3 linked regions of the Anolis sagrei genome follow. The protein of the gene in region 3 purifies or fractionates together with the protein of the main gene of each other region. This does not show direct contact. Links are inferred from orthologs where the notes say so. Each region holds a gene or a part of one and is shown on either strand. Other genes may lie near its edges. The genes, in order: STK38L, STK38 and MOB2.

Evidence for each region.
Region 1: the proteins of MOB2 (region 3) and STK38L purify together in Homo sapiens (affinity purification with mass spectrometry; 9 studies listed by BioGRID and IntAct, counting the BioPlex papers as one, with this or other methods). This does not show direct contact. The link is inferred for Anolis sagrei from reciprocal best matches to the Homo sapiens genes MOB2 and STK38L.
Region 2: the proteins of MOB2 (region 3) and STK38 purify together in Homo sapiens (affinity purification with mass spectrometry; 7 studies listed by BioGRID and IntAct, with this or other methods). This does not show direct contact. The link is inferred for Anolis sagrei from reciprocal best matches to the Homo sapiens genes MOB2 and STK38.

The regions. Positions count from the first base shown.
Region 1 is NC_090025.1:91,934,982-91,942,469, reverse strand, and holds the start of STK38L (serine/threonine-protein kinase 38-like), read right to left. Parts: upstream 3,096-7,488; 5' UTR 2,989-3,095; intron 1-2,988. UniProt on the Homo sapiens protein: Involved in the regulation of structural processes in differentiating and mature neuronal cells.
Region 2 is NC_090024.1:187,272,122-187,279,256, forward strand, and holds the start of STK38 (serine/threonine-protein kinase 38), read left to right. Parts: upstream 1-4,116; 5' UTR 4,117-4,327; intron 4,328-7,135. UniProt on the Homo sapiens protein: Serine/threonine-protein kinase that acts as a negative regulator of MAP3K1/2 signaling. Converts MAP3K2 from its phosphorylated form to its non-phosphorylated form and inhibits autophosphorylation of MAP3K2.
Region 3 is NC_090021.1:243,704,564-243,711,590, forward strand, and holds the start of MOB2 (MOB kinase activator 2), read right to left. Parts: upstream 3,099-7,027; 5' UTR 2,972-3,098; coding exon 2,862-2,971; intron 1-2,861. UniProt on the Homo sapiens protein: Stimulates the autophosphorylation and kinase activity of STK38 and STK38L.

The sequences.
Region 1 (7,488 bases), on a different chromosome or scaffold from region 3:
AGGGCCAGGTCACAGTCTTTCAAACTGTTGGAGGACCGGATTATAATTTGAAACAAACATGAATGAACTCCTACGCATATTGCACATATCTTATTTGTAGTGCAAAAAAAACACACTTAAAAATAATTAAAATGAAGAACAATTTTAACAAATATAAAATTATTAGTATTTCAATTGGAAGTGTGGGCCTGCTTTTGGCTGATGAGATAGGATTGTTGTTATTGTTGTGTGCTTTCAAGTTGTTTCAGACTTAGGTTGACCCTGAGCAAGAGCCGGGTAAATTACCTTGGAGAGCTGCATCTGGCCCCTGGGCCTTAGTTTGAGGACCCCTGATCTATATAAATAAAAATGTAATGTTCGTTTGTGGTATTCACAAAACTCAAAAACCACTGGACGAATTGACACCAAATTTGGACACAAGACACCTAACAGCCCAATGGATGTCCTTCACTAAAAAAAATTGATTTTGTCATTTGGGAGTTATACTTACTGGGATTTATAGTTCATCTACAATCAAAGAGCATTCTCAGCCTCACCAACGATTGAAATGAACCAAAATGAACCACACTTGGCACACAGTACTCCCATGGCCAACAGAAAATACTGGAAGGGTTTGGTGGGCAGTGTCCTTTGGTTTTGGAGTTGTAGTTCACCTACATCCAGAGATCACTGTGGACTCAAACAATGATGAGTCTGGACCAAACTCTACACAAATACTTAATATGCCCAAATGTGAACACTGGTGGAGTTTGGGGGAAATAGAATCTTGACATTTGGGAGTTGTAGTTGCTGGGATTTATAGTTCACCTACAATCACAGAGCATTCTGAACCCCACCAACGATAGAATTGGGCCAAACCTCCCACACAGAACCCCCATGTGGGCCACAGCAACGTGTGGCAGGGGACGGCTAGTAATTCATAAACTCCTTAAAGCAGTGGTTCTCAACCTGGGGTCCCCAGCTGTTTTTGGCCTACAACTCCCAGAAATCCCAGGCAGTTTACCAGCTATTAGGATTTCTGGGAGTTGAAGGCCAAAAACATCTGGGGACCCCAGGTTGAGAACCAACCTGGGGTCGTAGAGCGGGACGTAGGGAGCATACAACCCCCCTGCTGTACCAGCTCCACTGGCTGCCGATCTGCTACCGGCCTCAATTCAAGGTGCTGGTGTTGGCCTATAAAGCCCTAAATGGTTCCGGCCCAAAATACCTAACTGACCGCCTCTCGGCCTATGAGCCCACAAGGACCTTGAGATCTTCCGGGGAGGCCCTGCTCTCGATCCCGCCTGCGTCACAGGCACGGCTGGCGGGGCCGAGAGAGAGGGCCTTCTCGGTGGTGGCTCCTTGGCTGTGGAACACCCTTCCTGTGGACATCAGGCTAGCCCCCTCCCTGCTAATATTCCGCAGGAAGTTAAAGACCTGGCTATTTAAGAAGGCATTTGATCAAGAAGTGCAATGACTGGCAATTGACCATAGGAATGGAACAACGGAAATGATATCGGATTGTGGTCTGACAATGAGACGATTCGGAATGTAGTAGTAATTTTGTAGTAATGTTGTTTTGATAAGATGTTTTTTATGATTATGATGAATTGTGGAATGTTTTGCACTATGCTTTGTAGATTGCACTTGTTTTTTCATGTTGTACACCGCAATGAGTCGCCCTTGGGCTGAGAATTGCGGTATATAAGCGCAGTAAATAAATAAACAAACAAACCACTGCCTTAAAGACATAGGTCTTAATGTATTGTCGAAGGCTTTCATGGCTGGAATCACTAGGTTCTTGTGGGTTTTTTGGGGCTATAGAGCCATGTTCTAGAGGCATTTCTCCTGACGTTTCGCCCGCATCCATGGCAAGCATCCTCAGAGGTTGTGAGGTCTGTTGGAAGTAGGAAAAATGGGTTTATATATCTGTGGAATGGCTGGGGTGGGGCAAGGAGCTCTTCCCTGCTGCAGTTAGGTGTGAATGTTTAGCTGATCACCTTCATTAGCATTTGAAGGCCTTCCTGAGCCTGGGAAAATCTGTTGCTGGGAGGTGTTAATCTGTGCCTGGTTTTTTCCTCTCTGTTGTTTAGCTGTTATAATTTTAGAGTTTTTTAATACTGGTAGCCAGATTTTGTTCATTTTCATGGTCTCTTCCTTTCTGTTGAAATTGTCCACATGCTTGTGGATTTCAATGGCTTCTCTGTGTAGTCTGACATGGTGGTTGTTGGTCTTAACTTTCACACAGGTCAACCAGATGCCTCTTTGATTGCCCAATTCAAATCAAAGACAACCCATTGAGAGTGGAGCATTTCATTACAACTGTGTATTTTGAGACTGCACCAGAGGTTTGAATGTGCACATGCACTTGAAACCCAACCCCACGGATGCTGTGAAACCACGAGGCTTTGGGGTCCAACCTGAAGGTGACTTGGTGCATGTGTGGGGCTGCAAAGCACTTCCGGCTCTCGTCCAAGAACCACCTTTCCTGCCAGGGTAGGAGGCTTTGAAAAAACCGGTTCAAGGAGCAGCTTCCCAGCTAATCTCCCTGGGCCTGGGAGGCAGATGGGTGGCTCAAAGCAATCCCTTCCCCAGGTAGGGGGAGGAGGCGGCCATTCCCTGAGCCTTTGCCATTCAGGCTGCACTGCCAAGAGAGCACCTATTGTCAGTACTATTATTATTACTACTATTATGTCCATACATTCCTTCAGCATAAGGAGAGAAACGGAATACAGGGTGAAATGTAATTTCAAACACGCAGAGGATTCTTCATATGATAGATATTATGCAGGATTCTTCCCCGTCCTTTTCTCCTTGGCTTGGGACTCCTCCCTTCAGGCTGGCCCACTGCGAGTCTGTGGTGTGAGGCCAGGAGGGTGACTTCCCTCAGGAGGCGTGACACAAGGATGACCCCAGTCAGGCCGACCCCCTTTCCTTCCTTCTCTGAGGGAGCCTGAGGGCCTCCGCTCCGTCATTCCTTCCCCATTCCTCCTTCCCCGAAGACCTTACCTTCAGCCGCTTCTCCCTCTCGCCCGGCTCCCTCTCCGGCGCCTAGAATGAGGCTGCGGGGTCGAACTGTTTACTAACACACTCTCGCGAGAGCGTGGAGACCCGGCGCGAGAAAGGGGAAGCAGGAGAGAGGCGCCACCGCTGGTGATTGGCTCCTGGGAAGAATGGGGCGTGGCGAAGAGGCTGCCCACGTGGAGAGGCTTAGAAAGTGGGCGGGCTGAGTGCTCGCGCCGAAGTTCATCTGAGTACCTTGAGAGGAGGAGAAAGGCCCGGTACTAGCTGTCCCCTGCCACGCGTTGCTGTGGCCCAGTCTGGTGATCTGGAAAATAAAGTAATGAGAAAGTGTTGGTTTCTAATATACGTAATTTCTTTATACTTGTGGGTAAACAGTATTTCTTGCTGTTTCTTTGCCAGTGTTGATGTGGAGAGTGTCTGGTTTGCCTGCTCTGGAATCTGCAACATATCATAATCCTTCTTTATGGGTCTCTTTAAAATCTATGATACTATATCTGTGTGTGTGAGAGAATAATATCTGTTGTTATTCATTCGTTCAGTCATCTCCGACTCTTCGTGACCTCATGGACTAGCCCACGCCAGAGCTCCCTGTCGGCCGTCACCACCCTCAGCTCCTTCAAGGTCAGTCCAGACACTTAGACTCAAAGAGTTGGGAGAGACCTCATGAGCCATCCAGTCCAACCCCCTGCCAAGAAGCAGGAATATTGCATTCAAATCACCCCTGACAGATGGCCATCCAGCCTCTGTTTAAAAGCTTCCAAAGAAGGAGCCTCCACCACACTCCGGAGCAGAGAGTTCCACTGCTGAACGGCTCTCACAGGAAGTTCTTCTTAATGTTCAGATGGAATCTCCTCTCTTATAGTTTGAAGCCATTGTTCCGCGTCCTAGTCTCCAAGGAAGCAGAAAACAAGCTTGCTCCCTCCTCCCTGTGGCTTCCTCTCACATATTTATACATGGCTATCATATCTTCTCTCAGCCTTCTCTTCTTCAGGCTTCCAAAGAGTTGGAAGAGACCTCATGGACGGGGTTACACACCCCCTAAAGCCACAGGTCCGCAGTTTGGGAGTCCTATTGGATTCATCACTTACGCTTGAGGCTCAGCGGTATCCGGGAGGGCTTTTGCACAATTGAGACTCGTGTGCCAACCGCGACTGTACCTCGTGAAGGCTGATCTGGCCGGGGTGGTCCATGCCTTGGTCACCTCTAGATTGGACTACTGTGATGCGCTCTACGTGGGGCTGCCCTTGAAAACGGCTTGGCTTAAGGAGCTGGGCATGTTTAGCCTGAAGAAGAGAAGGCTGAGAGGAGATATGATAGCCATGTATAAATATGTGAGAGGAAGCCACAGGGAGGAGGGAGCAAGCTTGTTTTCTGCTTCCTTGGAGACTAGGACACGAAACAATGGCTTCAAACTACAAGAGAAGAGATTCCATCTGAACATGAGGAATAACTTCCTGACTGTGAGAGCCGTTCAGCAGTGGAACTCTCTGCCCCAGAATGTGGTGGAGGCTCCTTCTTTGGAAGCTTTTAAATCAACTCCAGCTCCTCATGTGGGGACATGAAAGAAGCCTCCCACAAGGATGATAAAACATCAAAACATCCAGGCATCCCCTGGGCAATGTCCTTGCAGATGGCCAATTCTCTCACACCAGAAGTGACTTGCAGTTTCTCAAGTCGCTTCTTACATGACCAAAAAAATGGTAGATGTAGTTTGGAGAGGCATCAGCCCTCTTTGGCAGATCAAGCTCTAGAGCAGGCATGTCCAAAGTCTGGCCCAGAGGCTAATTGTGACCCCTGTTCAAATTTCCACCTGCCCTCTCCAAGGCCTCCCTCCCTTGCTTTTTTCCTTCTTCACTTCTTTTCTCTCTCATGGGGTTTATGTGTGCCAAGTTTGGTCCAGGTCCATCATATGTGGGAGTTGCAGTGGTCTGTGGAAGTGGCAGCCAATCAGAAAGCTGCCACATCCAAACATACATATGAACACTGACTTTTAAATATATATATTAAATATATATAGATAATATATAGATCGTTCTTTCATGGTTATTTTTGCACTATTTATTTATTTATTTATTTATTTGCAGCTTTTCTATTCCGCCCTTCTCACCCCGCAGGGGACTCAGGGCGGATTATAGTGTACACATATATGGCAAACATTCAATGCCAATTTTTGACATACAAAGATATACAGACATAGACAGAGGCTATTTAACTTTTTCTGGCCGCCAGGGGAGCTATCACTTTCATCATCCATCTGCGATGCTGATGAAGCACTTCTGCATTCCCTGCATGCTTTCCCACTGGAATGCTTTGCTGGAGTCTTCTTTATGGCCTCACAAATCAGTTAATTTAGCCTCCCCACACTTTAAGGTGGTACCTTATTTTCCTACTTGACAGATGCAACTGTCTTTCGGGTTGCAAAGGTCAACAACAGGCTACACACAATTGGTTGGAAACCCACTCCAACCCGGGCTGGCTTTGAACTCATGACCTTTTTGGTCAGAGTGATCTTAATGCAGCTGACACTCAGCCAGCTGCACCACAATTGAGACATATGCAGTGTGCATATGAATGTGTTCATGCTTTTTTCAGACTGCCCCCTCCCAACAAGCTGAGGAACCATGAACTGGCACTCATCAAAAGTTTGGACACCCTTGCTCTACAGCTTGCATAACTATAGCTCCCAGAATTCCATAGCATTGAATCATAGCACTTAAATTGGTGCCAAATTGAGCTACACTATTGAGCTTCTGCAACTACAGTTCCCAGAATTCCATAGCATCGAGTCATTGCAGTTAAAATGGTGGCAAACCGCATTAATTCTACAGTGTAGATGCACTCTCAGAAGGAATCTATAATGGAACTCAACAAGACGTAAAAATATATCATTGAATAGTACATTTGTAATTGTCCATTCGGTTATGGTTCTCATTTCTATGTACATTTCTGTGAAAGCTGAACTTTGAAGAAAGCCAATAGTAAGAAAATCAACTTATTTGCAATGTGCTTATTTTTAAACTCCCATTTTGCGGACAATCAACAGACTAGAGGAGCCCAGCAGGTTTGGATATTTTTGACAGCAATCTTCCCCTTTATTATTAGTTGTAGTGTTTCTAACCCCTAAATAAACATGGTTACCCTTTACTTTTACTTCTCTGTATCTCTTTTAATCTCTTTGAGTTCTTTTCTCTTGTTTTCACCCAGCCTGGTGGCTGCTTGTGCCTCATGACCCAAGTGCCCCCCACAGCCCTCCATTGCCCTCAAAATGTCTTTATTTATTTACAGTATTTATACTCCGTCCTTCTCACCCCAAAAGGGACTAAGGGCAGATCACAATGCACACATACACAGCAATCATTCTATGCCATTTTTAGACATACAAGACAGACAGATAGAGGTATTTTGGCATTTCCAACTTCAGTTCCTTGAGGTTATGCTTGATTCCGGCTGTGGGATGGCAGCAGTGTGCTGTCGCTTCATCCACTATAATGCAAAGTCATTTTGATCATATTTCCTCCTTGTTCTTTGATTGCCGGCATTTTTATGGTGCCATAAAACACCTCCCCGCTTTAAGTGTTACCTAATTTCTCTACACACGGCTCAGCTGTTTTCAAACTGCTTAGGTGGACACTAAGTAGGCTTAACAGTTGGGAGTTCAATCCGACTCGGGCTTCAAACTTGCCACTTCCCAGTTGGCAGTAACCTATTGCTGCTGGCGATTAACCAGCTATGATACAGCTCTACAGAATGGGCCTATTCTCTCCCTCCCCTCCCCCCCCCCCCATTCTAACCATCCTTGAATCTCCCTGAAACCCTTTCACCAACCCCCACCCCTGTGGGTGCCCCAGTTCCCTAGGTGGAAACCCTAGTATCCATGGACCACCATTTTTATTTTTATTATTAAACTTTATTTATACCCCGCCACTATCTCCCCAAGGGGACTCTGGGTGGCTTACATAAGGCCATGCCCATCAGTATAATAACACAGTACAACACAAAAACACAACAAAAATAAAAAATAAAGTGACATCAATTACAAAACCAATATGCATAACAGCACAACACTATAAAATCAGAACATTAAACACTAAAAATGATCACAGTGGGCAGGGCTAGTTTCAAAGATTAAAATTTTAAAACCACTGAGTGATAGGGCAATGTAATATATCAGGACAGGGGATCTGGGGGATAAGGCAAGATTGAATTGCACGTACCAGAAAATAAAGTGCTTCTTGCCGGCCACATGACCTTGGAGGTGTCTACGGACAACGCTGGCTCTTCGGCTTAGAAATGGAGATGAGCACCACACCCCAGAGTCAGACATGACTGGACTTAATGTCAGGGGACTACCTTTACCTTTTTTAAAGGGCATTTTATGCAGAGTTTGGTCAGGAGTTAATGTTTATTCAGTCATTGAAGGCACACTGGAACAACCAAGTTTTCAGGCTCTTCCTAAAGATTGCCAGGGTGGGGGCTTGCCTAATA
Region 2 (7,135 bases), on a different chromosome or scaffold from region 3:
AAGTAAAGCAAAATAAACAAATGCTAAATGTATACATACATACTTCAACTACAAATGCAGTATTGATATTGCTTTGTTTTCCAGATCAACAGCAATATCAACATTTAACTTCCAATGATGGTGAGAGCTCTGTAAAAATCAACTGTTTAAATGCAGATAGATAGATGGATGGATGGATAGATAGACATCGCATCTCACACAGTGATTTGGCTTAAACAACCGTTCTATTTTCAGTCTCCTGGAATATACAATCGTATATGCTATTTGCATGGACTATATCAAAATGTTGTACTTTTGTTTACTGTAGCCATCTAAATAAAAATAAAGCAAGGCTATATTTCATTACCAGATACATGTGTTTAAAGAAATGGAATGAAAGTTACGGATAAAAACATTCTCAAAAATATTATTGGGTGCCTTTAGCTTTGGCAGTGGAGACAAGATAATGCCTTCCATAGTTATGGACAAATTTCCTGTCATCATCATCTCCTCAGTAATATCAAACTGCAGGTGGATTTAGAATCAGACATGAATTTTTCATCTAAGTGTCACATTTAAGTCCAAAATATTTGTAATTGTTATGATGACTAATTCTAGGAAACTTCAACACAATTCAAATTCTACATCAGGAAGTACAGACATATGGCAGTCTAAGGTCACCAGCATGACTAACATACAGTTCCAAAGAAGTTATAGGAGATAAGGCTTTGCTGAGAAACTGAAAGTCTTTACAGAAACTGTGAAGGAAGTTAAGGAGAGTTATAGTAACTAAGGCCGGTGGCAAGTATCAAAATTTATGTTCATCAGGCACATCCTTCCATTATCTACACAGTCTTTTTGTTATTGCTGCCAATCTGAGAAGATCATCAAGACAGAATTTAGCTACTCCCCCTTTTGGTTCCTGGAATGACAAAGTGTGTTGTACTGAAGTATACATGATTTGTCAGTCTTAATCATATTAGCCTTTGCAGGATAAACAATGAAGATTCCTATAGTACCATATGTAAGCATATGCCAGGTTTATCTCACATACATCAGAGCTTTCCAAACTGTGTGTTGCAACACATTAGTGTGTCCGCTTCAGTGTGTGTGTCATGTGAACAGAATGGGATATGACATGTTATTATCTTACAAACAATATTTTTAAAAATATAAATGAAATGTTTTCATGGTATCTGTTCCCTTACATTTCATTATTACAGAGAGAGAGAGAGAGAGAGAGAGAGAGAGCATGTGTTGGTGTGTGTGTGTGCATCCATATCTCTTATAAGGGGTTGGTTTAATATCTGGTTTGCTAATAGAACTGAATTACTGTGTCACAAAATGATGAATGTCTAAAAAGTGTCTCACCAACATGAAATGCTTGGAAAGCTCCACATTGGATAAATCTGACATATGGTTGTTTCCACAGTACCGTTCATAATGTTTAAATAATGTGGACTACCATCTGATTAAAAACTCTTGAGCATCATAGCTCAAGAGAAGAGAGTTGTGATGGAAAGCTGAATTATCAAAAGATGGTGCAATATTTTCTCTTGCATTGCAATATAATAATAAGAATTGTACTAGCAGAGCTCTGATCCCCCAAGTTTTGAAAAAAATAGGGATTAATTTCTGTATCAAAACAATACTTCTCATTGAATTGTGAAACTTTTCTCCCAGTAAACACACCTAAAATTATTTATGTGATTCTGAAAAAGTAAGTATAATTAAGAGGAAGCAATGATTTTATTATTTTTTATCATTCTTATTAATTTCACTGAAAACAGTGAAAGTAACATGTTAATATTTTAATCTGAGAAAGGTTTTTTTGATTGAAGGTCACATGATCAGGAAATTTCTCTGGATCGTTAGATTCAAGGAAGATAGTAACACATTAAAAACAATACATGCTACAAACAATACAAACAATACAAAGATCATAATAAAACCGTAAGAATAAAAAGCAAGTAAAACAGATTTATTTAATTTAAACATTAAAATACATTAAAAACTACATGGAACCCCTTCAAAAATCTTCAAAACGGAACCATGCAGCATTGGCACCCTAGCTGTCATCAATATGTAAAGAACTGCAATGAAACACAAGTGTATTTACCTGCTTCCAGAAGGAGAGTAAGGATGGAGCCACCGGGACCTTTCTAGGGAGAGATTTCCAAAATCTGGGAGCCATCGCCAAAAAGGCCTCTCCCTTGTTCCCAGGGGCAGGAAGAATATAAAAGAAAATAATTGGGCAACATCCTTAAGAGTAAATGCTCTTTATTTTTGCATGAGCTTTCATGGATACGAACTCATTACTTTGCCTGGAGCACAGAATGATAAGAAATGTCGAGTATAAAACATATTTATAGGATTAAATGTAATAGGATCCAGAAAAATGCAAATTGTGTTGCCCCGGTTTTTCCAAGGGCTGCTTAAAGTGATACAAGATTCAGATACATAATTCTTCTCACTAAGGGATGTGCATCTACACTGTAAAATCAATGCAGTGTGATACCCCTTTAAATTACATTCAAAATATGTGTGTAAGGTTTGCATCAAATTAAGCTTTGCAAGTTCTTTCACCTTGCCTGCTAAAAACTGCTAGTGGCTCACCAAACTACAACTACCAGGATTCCATAGCACTGTGCTAAGGCAGTTAAAAGTGGAGTCAAACTGCATAATTTTACAATGTAAATCAGGCATGAGCAAACTTCGGCCCTCCAGGTGTTTTGGACTTCAACACCCACAATTCCTAACAGCCTACTGGTTGTAAGAAATTGTGGGAGTTGAAGTCCAAAACACCTGGAGGGCCGAATTTTGCCCATTCCTGTTCTAACTATTCTACCTTCCATTCCACCTATTTTGAATTTATTCATTCATTTACATCCCACTTTCTCTCTCCATAAGAAGACTCAAAGTAGCTCAGTCAAAAACATTACAACTTCAAATATACAATAATAAAACAGTATATAATTATATATTGTCAGTACTGTTATATTTAATATATTAGTATTATTACAGTATTATTATATTATTAGTATTATATTGCATTACATTATATTATCAATATTATATAAATACAATATATTATTAGCCTAGCAGAATGTTAGTATTATATATTACTGTATTGCGATATACCACTGTACTGCAAGATTATTAGTAATATTACATGTAATATATAATACACAATTAATATATTATTATATTGTACTATGTTCTTACTTACTTTACTACGAGCCCCTGTGCCAGCAGGACTGAACGTTCGAATCTGGAGAGTGTGCATATGAGTTCTCTCTTTCAGCTCCAGCTACCCATGAGAGGATATGAGAGTAGCCTCCCACAAGGATGATAAAACATCAAAACATCCGGGCGTCCTCAGGGCAAGGTCCTTGCAGACAGCCAATTCTCTCATACCAGAAGCGACTTGCAGTTTCTCAAGTTACTCCAGACAAGACCAAAAAACCCCAACAACAACCTTACTTTACTTACATACTTACTTAGGCGATCCCTCATAGCTTCAGGATGATGGTCCTCCAAATGTGGTGTCTTGGCGGTGGGTCTGTAGGTGGCTGTTTTGACCTGCATGTTCTCCCACAGTGAGGACATTGGTTTCCAGGTGGAAGGCAGTTCCAATCAGGGTTGGCTTGATATGCCTTCCTCTTGGCACGTTTCTCCCTTTCGCCTTCCATTCGTGCCTCTTCAAATTATGCAGCACTGCTGGTCACATCTGCCCTCCAGTTAGAGCACTCAAAGGCTTATGTTATTATACCACAAGATATAATACACTGCCAGTATATTATACTATTAGTATTATATAACATATTGTACTATATCATAAGTAGTAGTATATGTAATATACATTATATTACAACATTATTAATACTATATATATTAGTATTACTACATTACAATGTTATTATTTCGAATTATATGTTACTTCTCATTCTAACTATTATTCTATTCTTCTCATTCTACCTATTACGCGTGGGTACAACCTGCCCACTCTCTCTCTTTCCCACCCAACTTCCTCCTACGTAAACCAAACCCCGTAAAAGTCTACCGAGAAGAGGAGGAGACGGAAAGAGATTGGCGCATGCGCATCGCCGTCCCCGCCCCTTCGGGCCACAAGCGGGGCGGGGATGGGACCCAGGCAGAGGGAGAAGGAGATCCGCCGCGCATGCGCACTGGGCCAGGGCTTCGAGCTCGCGCTTTCCTGGGGCGGGATGAAGAAGAAGAGAGCGAGGGGCTGAAAGAGCAGGCCTGAGGGAGACACTTCCTGCAGTTCCTGGGCTGCTCCGCGCCTCGCCGCCGTCACCCCCTCGCTCTAGGAGGGGCGGGGTCCCCGGTAAGTTGTCCCCACCTCTTCTGCCTTCCAGGGGGTCGCTTTCCCTCACTCTCTCCTCAGACCCCAAAGCTTTTGCCCCTTCAGGCGAGGGGCCCCCTCCTCTCCGTTTCCATGGCAACCTGGCCTAGCTCCTCTGCCTTCGCCTCTGCTCGTGTTTCCCCTCATTTTCTGTGCGGAGCGTGGCCTCTCCCAACTCTTTCCTTTCCTCCTCTCCCCCCCCCCCCTCCTCAACACCTGCTTGGGTCTTCTCACAACTTTTTGGGATGGTTCATACTGGGTTCCCAATGATGCATAACTACCTAAATTAAACTTTCAAGTTCCTATAGTTGTTACAGGTGGAATATTGGACTATCCCTCTTATGAAAGGGACAGAAGTGTGTAGGATTTTAGGGTCCCCCCCCCCCCTTTCATTCCTATTTTGAAATACTTACATAGGGTAATGAGATAGCTTGAAGATGGGACTCCAGCATAAAACTCCCAACATAAAATTTATCCCCCTACCAACCCCAGAGATTACCTCGGTCCAAGGACCAAAATTTGCTTGAAGTCCCCAACATCCGGACTTATCATCTGTCCTCTACTAGGCAGAGAGCCTTCTCGATTGTGGCCCCTTATTTATGGAATGCCTTGCCAGTTGAAACCCGAACCATCCGAGAGCTACTTGCTTTTCGGAAAGCCTGTAAAGCCTTTCTTTTCCGACAAGCTTTCGATGGGTGAATAACTCGGGACTATGTCTGTTTCGCGTTTTTATTGTATTTTAAAGTTGGTTGTATTGTTTTAATCTACTGCTACAGCAGTAGATTAAAACAATACAACCAACTTTAACCAACCACTCCGAGCCAAATTGGGAGTGGCGGTATACAAGCCAAATAAATAAATAAATAAATATACACCTTATACCAGGCATGGGCAAAGTTTGCCCCTCCAGCTTGCTTCATCTTCAATGTGACATCCTTTCATGGCTATATCACAGACATGGGCAAACTTGGGCCCTCCTCCAAGTGTTTTGGACTTCAACTGCCACAATTCCTAACAGCCACAGGCCCCTACCTTTTCCCCCTCTGCCGCTTAAGGAAGGGGGCTGAGGCTGTTAGGAATTGTGGGAGTTGAAGTCCAAAACATTTGGAGGAGGGCCCAAGTTTGCCCATGCCTGCCTTATACACACATTCAGATTGAATAAAACCCATATGAAATACTTAGGGCAGGGGTCCTCAGACTAAGGCCCGGATATGGCCCTCCAAGGTCATTTACCTGGCCCTCGTTCAGGGTTAGCCTAAGTCTGAAACAACTTGAAAGCATACAACAACAATCCTATCTCATCAACCAAAAGCAGGCCCACACTTCTCATTGAAATACTAATAAGTTTATATTTGTTAAAATTGTTCATCATTTTAATTATTGTACTGTTTTTAAGTGTTATTGCACTACAAATAAAATATGTGCAGTGTGCATAGGAATTCATTCTTTTTTCCCCCCAAATTATAATCTGGCCCTCCAACAGTTTGAAGGACTGTGACCTGGCCCTCTGTTTAAAAAGTTTGATGACCCCTGACTTAGGGTCAGAAGACTGGTTTTGGAATGCAGGCAGTCTCCAAGTTACAAACAAGATAGGTTCTGTAGGTTTGTTATTAAGTTGAATTTGCATGTTAGTTGGAACAGGTACATTTCGTAAGTGTGATAATAATATAATGCTTTATTTATATTCTGCCCCTTTTCACCAAGGGGACTCAGGGAAGCTTAATAAACTTATAATAATAAACTTAATTTATGGGTTGTTGTAGGTTTTTCGGGCTGTATGGCCATTTTCTAGAAGCATTCTCTCCTGGCGTTTTGCCTGCATCTATGGCAAGCATCCTCAGAGGTTGTGAGGTCTGTGGTTGTGCAGGCAAAATGTCAAGAGAGAATGCTTCTAGAACATGGCCATATAGCCCAAAAAACCTACAACAACACAGTGATTCTGGCCATGAAAGCCTTCGACAATACATTTAACTCAATTTATATCCCATCCCCTCTTCACAATGATTCAGAGCGGCTCACAACAGTATCAAGTCACATTACATACATACACAGAAACCAAAAAGACAAGAATGTAACCAGCAAGAGGAAACAATGTACATAATAGCAGTCACACTTACAATCCAAAAAGGGTGAAATCAAACAAACAAATAAAGACAAATAAAAACTGTACCTCTCTATATATATATGAGTGAGGCGAAGTCTTCTGAACAGGTCACAGCAAAACAAACAGCACAGGGTTGTTAACTCCTCATCCCTATGCTATCCAAGCATATGTAGATCGATAGATAACTTGGGTAGCAATACCTAATAAAATACCTTTGAGGTGGAACCCTACTCTAAACATTGGATTCATTTATTGGATTCATATACACCTTATATGCATAGCCTGAAAGTGTTTTATACACAGTGTTTTTAATAATTTTGTGCATGAAGCAAAATTTGGTTACATTGAACAATTGAAAAGTAAATGTATCACTGTCTCAGCCACCATATGGACACTTCTGGAAGTCTGAATAAAGGGTGCTCAACCTGTAAGATCGCATTCATGATTTTTCCTCTACTCTTGAGAATAATGATTTTTTGGAGGGAATAAACTCCCAATGTGCTTAAGATAGCAGGCTCCTGTGTGCCTTGTTAGCCAGCATGCATAGTAGAAAACTCTGCTTCCTGCTCACCAAATGACATCATTTAATTCTGTTTCATCGTTATTATCAGAAACAGAAACTTTTAGCTGTTGAAAAGGATCTATGGTTTCTTTGAATCACAAAAAGAAATTGTACTATGCGATGT
Region 3 (7,027 bases):
TTGTACTGACTTTAGCTCCTGCTGTATTAAGAGTCACCCAGCTGTCTTTTCTGAAGCCAGGATAATTGAAAGGGGGGGGGGGGGGAGAGGAATAGGACAGTCTAGTTCCTTTAAAAGCAATGTCAAGAGTTGTACGTTTTCACAATCTTTATCTGCTATCCCAAACAGATCCATACACACTGCCATCTATCTTTTTAAACACCGAATTATTTACTTTTGCTGAGCAGTCTATCCTACTTGTTGCTCCAAGCTTCTTTTCTAGTCACCCTTTTCAGTTGTACCCCTTTTTTAAACAGAGCTATTAAATTTTCGATTCATCAGTCCTGCTGATAGCAAAATAATTACATAAAGAGATGTGGACATATTTAATTACTCATTTCCTTTCTTGCTGGCACTTCAGGTAAGTACCTGAATACATAAAGAGTAACTCATTTCGTATGTGAGTTTTTGATTTGTCTCAATGCTTACTTCATTTTTCTGTTTGTTTGCCTTTCTTTTTCTTTGGAAAGACAAATGAACCATACAAATTTCTTTCACTTCCTCTATGATTTCATCACTCACCTTGCTCGGAGATTTGGAGTAAGAGATGGGGTGAACACACAACAAAATAATCTTACACCAAACTAGTATTGAGAGGAAAGCTAAGAATGTAACTTGCATACATTATACCATATAAGTAAGTTTCCCTCATAGAATTTATTTCATTGCTGCTAGTTATGGAGGAAGCCAAGAGGCTATACATGACACTGATGTCTTATCACTTATTACTGGAAATCACAAATTATGACACTACTTACTTCCAAATAACTCTTTCACAACTATTAAGAATAAAAATGTGGTTTACTGCTCTTTAGGAAACTGAACCAATAAAGTATTTGTTCTTTAGGAAGCTGAACCAAGGCAGATATGTATTTATCTATGTATGCATGCAAACATGGATTTGGCTTTTTGGTAGTCCTGTTCTTATCTTGCTTCATGGCACTCTTCCCTAGCTCATCGTATTTTATCCTATACGTTCATTAACACCTCACCATTCTACCCCATATGGAGTCTAATGCATCTTAGGCATCTCAAAGTATTGACTACTCTAAATGTGTCCCAATTTTTCATGAAAAAAGAGAAAGTGTATTCTTATTCAGCAATTTATTTTGAAAGTGAACCTATATACTATAGGTTCACTTTTAAACAAGTGAACCTATAGTATATGTAAAAAGGTTCCAGCAGTCAAAAATGACAAAATGATTCCATGGTGATGTCATTTTCTCTTCTTTGTTAATTGAAGTTTGATTCAGCAGAAGATCTCAGCCTACGCTGATGGGCAAGCCGCAACTCCACCCCCAAAGACAGGCATTAGATTTAACTCTCAGTGAGGTGATCTCACTCATATGCCATATCATTAGTGTTTTACTCATGACTTAAATTCCCATTGCTTAATCAGCTATGTTTTCTCCATCAACCAAGTCATACATACTACATATGCAATCAGGTTCGGTCACTTTCAGATAGAAAGCAATGCTGTCATGGCAAGTGATATTTAGAAGAAAATACTGTATAGATTTATTCTGATGGACATAGAAAAAAACATTTGTTTTCTCCACATATAAGTATATTATAGGTGGGAGGAAGAGAGAAGAATTAAAATGTTTACTTAATCTGTGAAATATTAGTACATTATACGAGAGTATAGCGAATTCCGAAAGTCATTACTTTCAAGCCACACATGTAAGACTTATAATCTGTTCCTAAAGGGTATAAAATAAATAAGAGACCAGGTTGGAATGGATAAAGAAGAGATGAATTTGTAATAGAGTGCAACAGCATTCAAAACAACTTATGCCATATCGAAATACAGTTTGGAAGGAGCTGTCCTAAAGCAAGTATTTTATGTACTAAGTTTAGGTATTAATAAAAGTCTTTACCAGTTTCATGCTGACAAAATATTTTAACTATTAGCCTTTAGTAGTAGGAACTAACTCCCCAAAGTTTGCCAAAAACAAGCTCTGTGCTTCGCATTTCCCCACTAGTAACCAGATTTTAACAGCTCTGTTTAACACCACCTTAAAGAAGAATTAGTGTGTGATTTAAATAAGAAAAACTCCAGTTGAAAGGTAATTTTCCATTTTGTGTCAGTGGGGAAAAAATCCTGCAGGTACAATGGATAAGTATATTTTCTAGTCAGAAGCCTGACCCCTCATCTTAATATTACGTAAAACGTACATGGAGTTTTCAACATGCTTCTGAATTTCAAACAGCCTTATAAAACTCAAATTTTATGAACAAAACCTCTGAAACAACAACAAAAAAATAACAGGCCATTTCTGTACATCATCACTGGGAGGGAAAAGACATATTATGGGTCTTACTCTAAAATGCGAACAGGATTGCAGATTTAGTTGAGTTCCTATCCTGTAAGAGCCACAGCTGAGATATATGATGCAAATTTGGTTTTCTCATGTTAAACAAGGGTAGTAAGCAAAAGCATACATGATGAATAAGCAAGGAGAAAAATTACACACATGCTACTTTCATTTTTTTAATCTGAATTTTAAGCAACAGAATATGCTGGATAAATCAATCCATTTAAGTTACTGTCATCCTCACGAAAGCCCAGGTTAAACATCCCACAGTCATTTCAACAAGATTTTTTCTGAAACCACTCCTATACTCATTTGTCTCTGAAGATCAAGACTGCTATTTTGCATCTTTAAATTCAATGCTAGTTTTGCCACTGATCTCTACAAGGTTCAGATGGACCCGAATTATTTCAGAGACAAAAATGTTCCAGAATGAGATTGTGGCAAAAGCTCTCTCTCTCATCTCCTTACCCTCCCATCAAGATGATATTTTGTAGAGGTTGTTACCTTAATACTTTGCCCACTGCCTGTAGGACCATTTTGCAGCTTAATCCAGTTTTGGGAGTTTGAGAAAGTACAGGTCTTTCGCCGCTGAGATTACAATGATCCCCAACCATGTTAGAGAGAGAGAAAGAGAGAGAAAATGAGGAGAAGAGGGGGGATTGGGAACTGCCAGTACAGACTTGAGTCGCTTTACCAGATCTCTCTCCTTCCCTTCTAAAAAAAAACTAGTCCAACTACATTCACAGAGTTTACACAGCTTACTTCACTCCAACCCTCCCTGCCTTCTTCCCTCCCTCTTTCCTTCAGCCAATGACAGAGCGGCAGAGGAAATAGGGGAAAAAATTCGGCTGGAAAAGACAAACAGCTGCTCCTTTTTACAAACCCTAAGTAAAAGCCAAGGCTGAGGAGCCAATGCCAATAAGGAAGCATTTGAATTGGCCTTTTCAGACTGGCGCCGACTGTGCAACAGGACAAGAGAAGTAGTGTGAGGCACAAGCAAGCATCTTTCAAGTGCCCTGTTTGCAGTGCAGTGTTACAGAGACACTGAGTGAACAGAAACAAGGAGGAAGCTCTTTTACACTCAAACGCCTGTGATCTGTGGGGTATTCAAGTACACAGGGGGGCCCACATCTAGTGATTCTTCACTTCATATGCACACATTTTACTAGGAAGCACTTATGTATTGCTATCTGGTATGTCTAATAGTATAGGGGAGGATCAGTATGATCAAAACACACATTAAAGAGAAAGGCCACTAATTCAGCCAATACCACTTGCAAATACTCCTTTCAGGAGGTATTTATCATATTTCTTCTATTCTAAGACACCATTAATTGTAAGAATCACTCTAATTTAAATATCACCAACAGAATATATATGGAAGCACCATGATTCTAAGATGCACCCCATTTTTAGAAATGTTTACATTGGTGAAAAAAGTGAGTCTTAGAATCAAAGAAAAAAAGTAGATCATCCAGATGTGCCTGAAATAAATGTACTCTCTCACATAATACTCCATTTCACCCAGCCTCAAATCAAGTATGCTTTGTTTGAAATGATCCTTCATGGCATGACAAACCCAGTGTGGATGCCAAAGTTAATAATTAAGCTGAAATAAATCTAGTTTATATTGGAAAGTATTTTGACTTTTCAGAATCATGTCCAACCTATGCATAGCATTCATCCAGAAGGTGTAGCACTATCTCTGACACATGCCAAATTCTCTGTACCACAAGGCTTCTATTAAGCACTTTACTGGATGCAAGCTCAAGAAGGCATGGCATTCACCCTTCTCTAAACCGCGAATAATGCCAGTCAACAGTGGCACACTATAAACCCTTGATTTAAGTGATGAGGGTAAACAAGTGGGTAAGGTGGTAATTTGCATACAACACCACAATCCAGACAATACATTTCCTCCTGAAATACTATGTCTGCCTTTGTGGTGACATTTGTGCTTATTGTATGATACTGCCTCTACATTAGGGTTTGCATTATACTGCTAATATGCAGGCAAAGTGATAATTTCATTACCACTACATCTCTCTGTTTTAAGCATGCCAGGTCTGTCAACAGAGGAAAGCTATGGAAAGTCTAAGAAAATTTGTTCTCCATAAACAGGGCTGGCTATGAAGAGTAATTATATGGTCCTACTTATACCAATAATATACACAGTCACTTTAAAAATGCAATATGAAATAAGTGAAAACAGAATTAGTAAGTGAAAATAGAATTAGTAAAAACCAAATGGAACTAAAACTTTGTCTATAGAAGCAGTCTGCGATGAAGCAGGCACAGGAGTCTAATCAAGATACGGGAAAGGGAGAGTTAAAAAACCAATTCGGCCAATTCGTGAGCAAACCTTAAGAAAAATTCCAAAATGTCCTCCCGACATGGTAAACTTGGGTTCCAAGGTAGACGGTCCTCCCGGATTAAAGGTGGTGCTGTTGAATGCCAGGTCTGTCAATGGTAAAACATCAACCATTCAGGATTTAATCCTGGATGAAAAGGCAGACCTGGCGTGCATCACGGAGACCTGGTTGGACGAGGCTGGAGGGGTTAATCTCACTCAGCTTTGCCCACCAGGTTATGCCGTGCAACACCAACCGAGACCCGGGGGGCGGGGAGGCGGAGTTGCAATAGTCTATAAAGATTCCATCTCCTTGGTCAGGGGCCCGGCCTTACAGTCGACCTTGTTTGAATGTGTCCACCTGAGGCTAGGAGACCGGGACAGAATAGGGCTGTTGTTGGTGTACCGACCACCCCGCTGCACCACGGCCGCCCTACCTGAGCTTGCAGAGTTGGTCTCAGGCCTGGCATTGGAGTCCCGGCAGCTTGTAGTGCTGGGGGACTTCAATGTCCATGCAGAGACCACTCTTTCAGGAGCGGCTCAGGACTTCATGGCTTCCATGGCAACTATGGGGCTGTCCCAATTAATATCTGGCCCTTCCCACTGTGCTGGACACACACTTGACTTGGTCTTCTGTCAGGGCTGGAAAAAAAAGGTGGCGGTGTGGAGGAGTTATCAATCTCCCCTTTGCCATGGACTGACCACCACCTGATCAAGTTTAGACTTGCTGCAACTTCTAACCTCCGCAGGGGTGGTGGACCCATTAAGATGGTCCGCCCCAGGAAGCTTATGGATCCAGAAGGACTCCTGATGGCTCTTGGGGATGTTTCCGCTGCCTTGGATGGTGATTCTGTCAATGCCCTGGTCGCTCACTGGAATAGGGAGTTGACTAGGGCAGTAGACACGATTGCTCCAGAGCGCCCCCTCTTAAGTCATCGAGCGAAACCGGCCCCTTGGTTGAACGAGGAGCTGGTGGAGCTAAAGCAAACAAAGAGGTGGCTAGAGAGCGTGTGGAGGAAAGAGCCCAGCGAGTCAAACCGAACACGCCTACGCCTCTATCTAAGGGCGTATGACGCGGCAATAGAGGCCGCGCAAAATGCTTTCTACTCGGCCAATATTGCATCCGCAAGGAACCGTCCGGCAGAGCTGTTCCGAGTAGTCAGAGGGTTGTTGAATCCCACCTTGAGTGGGTCCCCTGACAACTCGGCAGCGCACTGTGAAGCATTTGCTCAGTACTTTGCAGACGAAGTCGCTTTGATCCGCGCGGGCTTTGACACCACATTAACTGCAGTCTCTGAGGATGTAACTCAAGCATCTGCTTGTCCAGTTTTGTTGGATGCGTTTCGATCTGTTCAACTCGACGAGGTCATCAGGGTTCTGGGAGAGGCGAGGCCTACCACATGCATCCTAGACCCCTGACCTTCCTGGCTGCTAAAAGAAGCCAAAGGGGGTTTGGCAGAGTGGGTAAAGGTGGTGGTTAATGCCTCCCTTCGGGAAGGCAAGATTCCAGCCAGCTTAAAACAAGCTGTCATCAAACTGCTGTTGAAAAAAACATCACTAGACCCCACTCAATTCGTCAACTTTTGGCCAGTCTCCAATCTCCCCTACTTGGGCAAAGTCCTGGAACGTGTGGTAGCCTCGCAACTCCAGGAATTCCTAGTGGACACGGACTATCTAGATCCGTCACAGTCTGGCTTTAGGCCGGGACATGGTACTGAGACAGCCTTGGTCGCCTTAGTTGATGATCTGCGCTGGGAACTGGACAGGGAGACCCTGTTGGTTCTGCTGGACCTCTCTTCGGCCTTCGATACCGTCGACCACGGTATCCTTCTGGGACGCCTCACGGGAATGGGTCTTGGGGGTACTGCCTTGCAGTGGCTCCGGTCCTTTCTCGAGGGTCGCTCCCAGAAGGTGTCACTAGGGGACTCCTGCTCGACTCCTCGGCCATTGCACTGTGGAGTCCCGCAGGGCTCAATACTGTCCCCTATGTTGTTTAACATATACATGAAGCCGTTGGGAGAGATCATCCGGAGTTTTGGGGTGCGATGTCATCTGTATGCAGATGATGTCCAACTCTATCACTCTTTTCCACCTGCCACTAAGGAGGCTGTTCAGGTCATGAACTGGTGCTTGGCCGCTGTCACGGACTGGATGAGGGACAACAGATTGAAACTAAATCCAGACAAGACAGAGGTACTCCTGGTCAGTCGTAAGACCGAACAGGGTACGGGGTTACAGCCTGTGCTGGACGGGGTCACACTTCCCCTAAAAGCACAGGTACGCAGTCTGGGAGTTCTCCTGGATTCATCGCTGAGCGTGG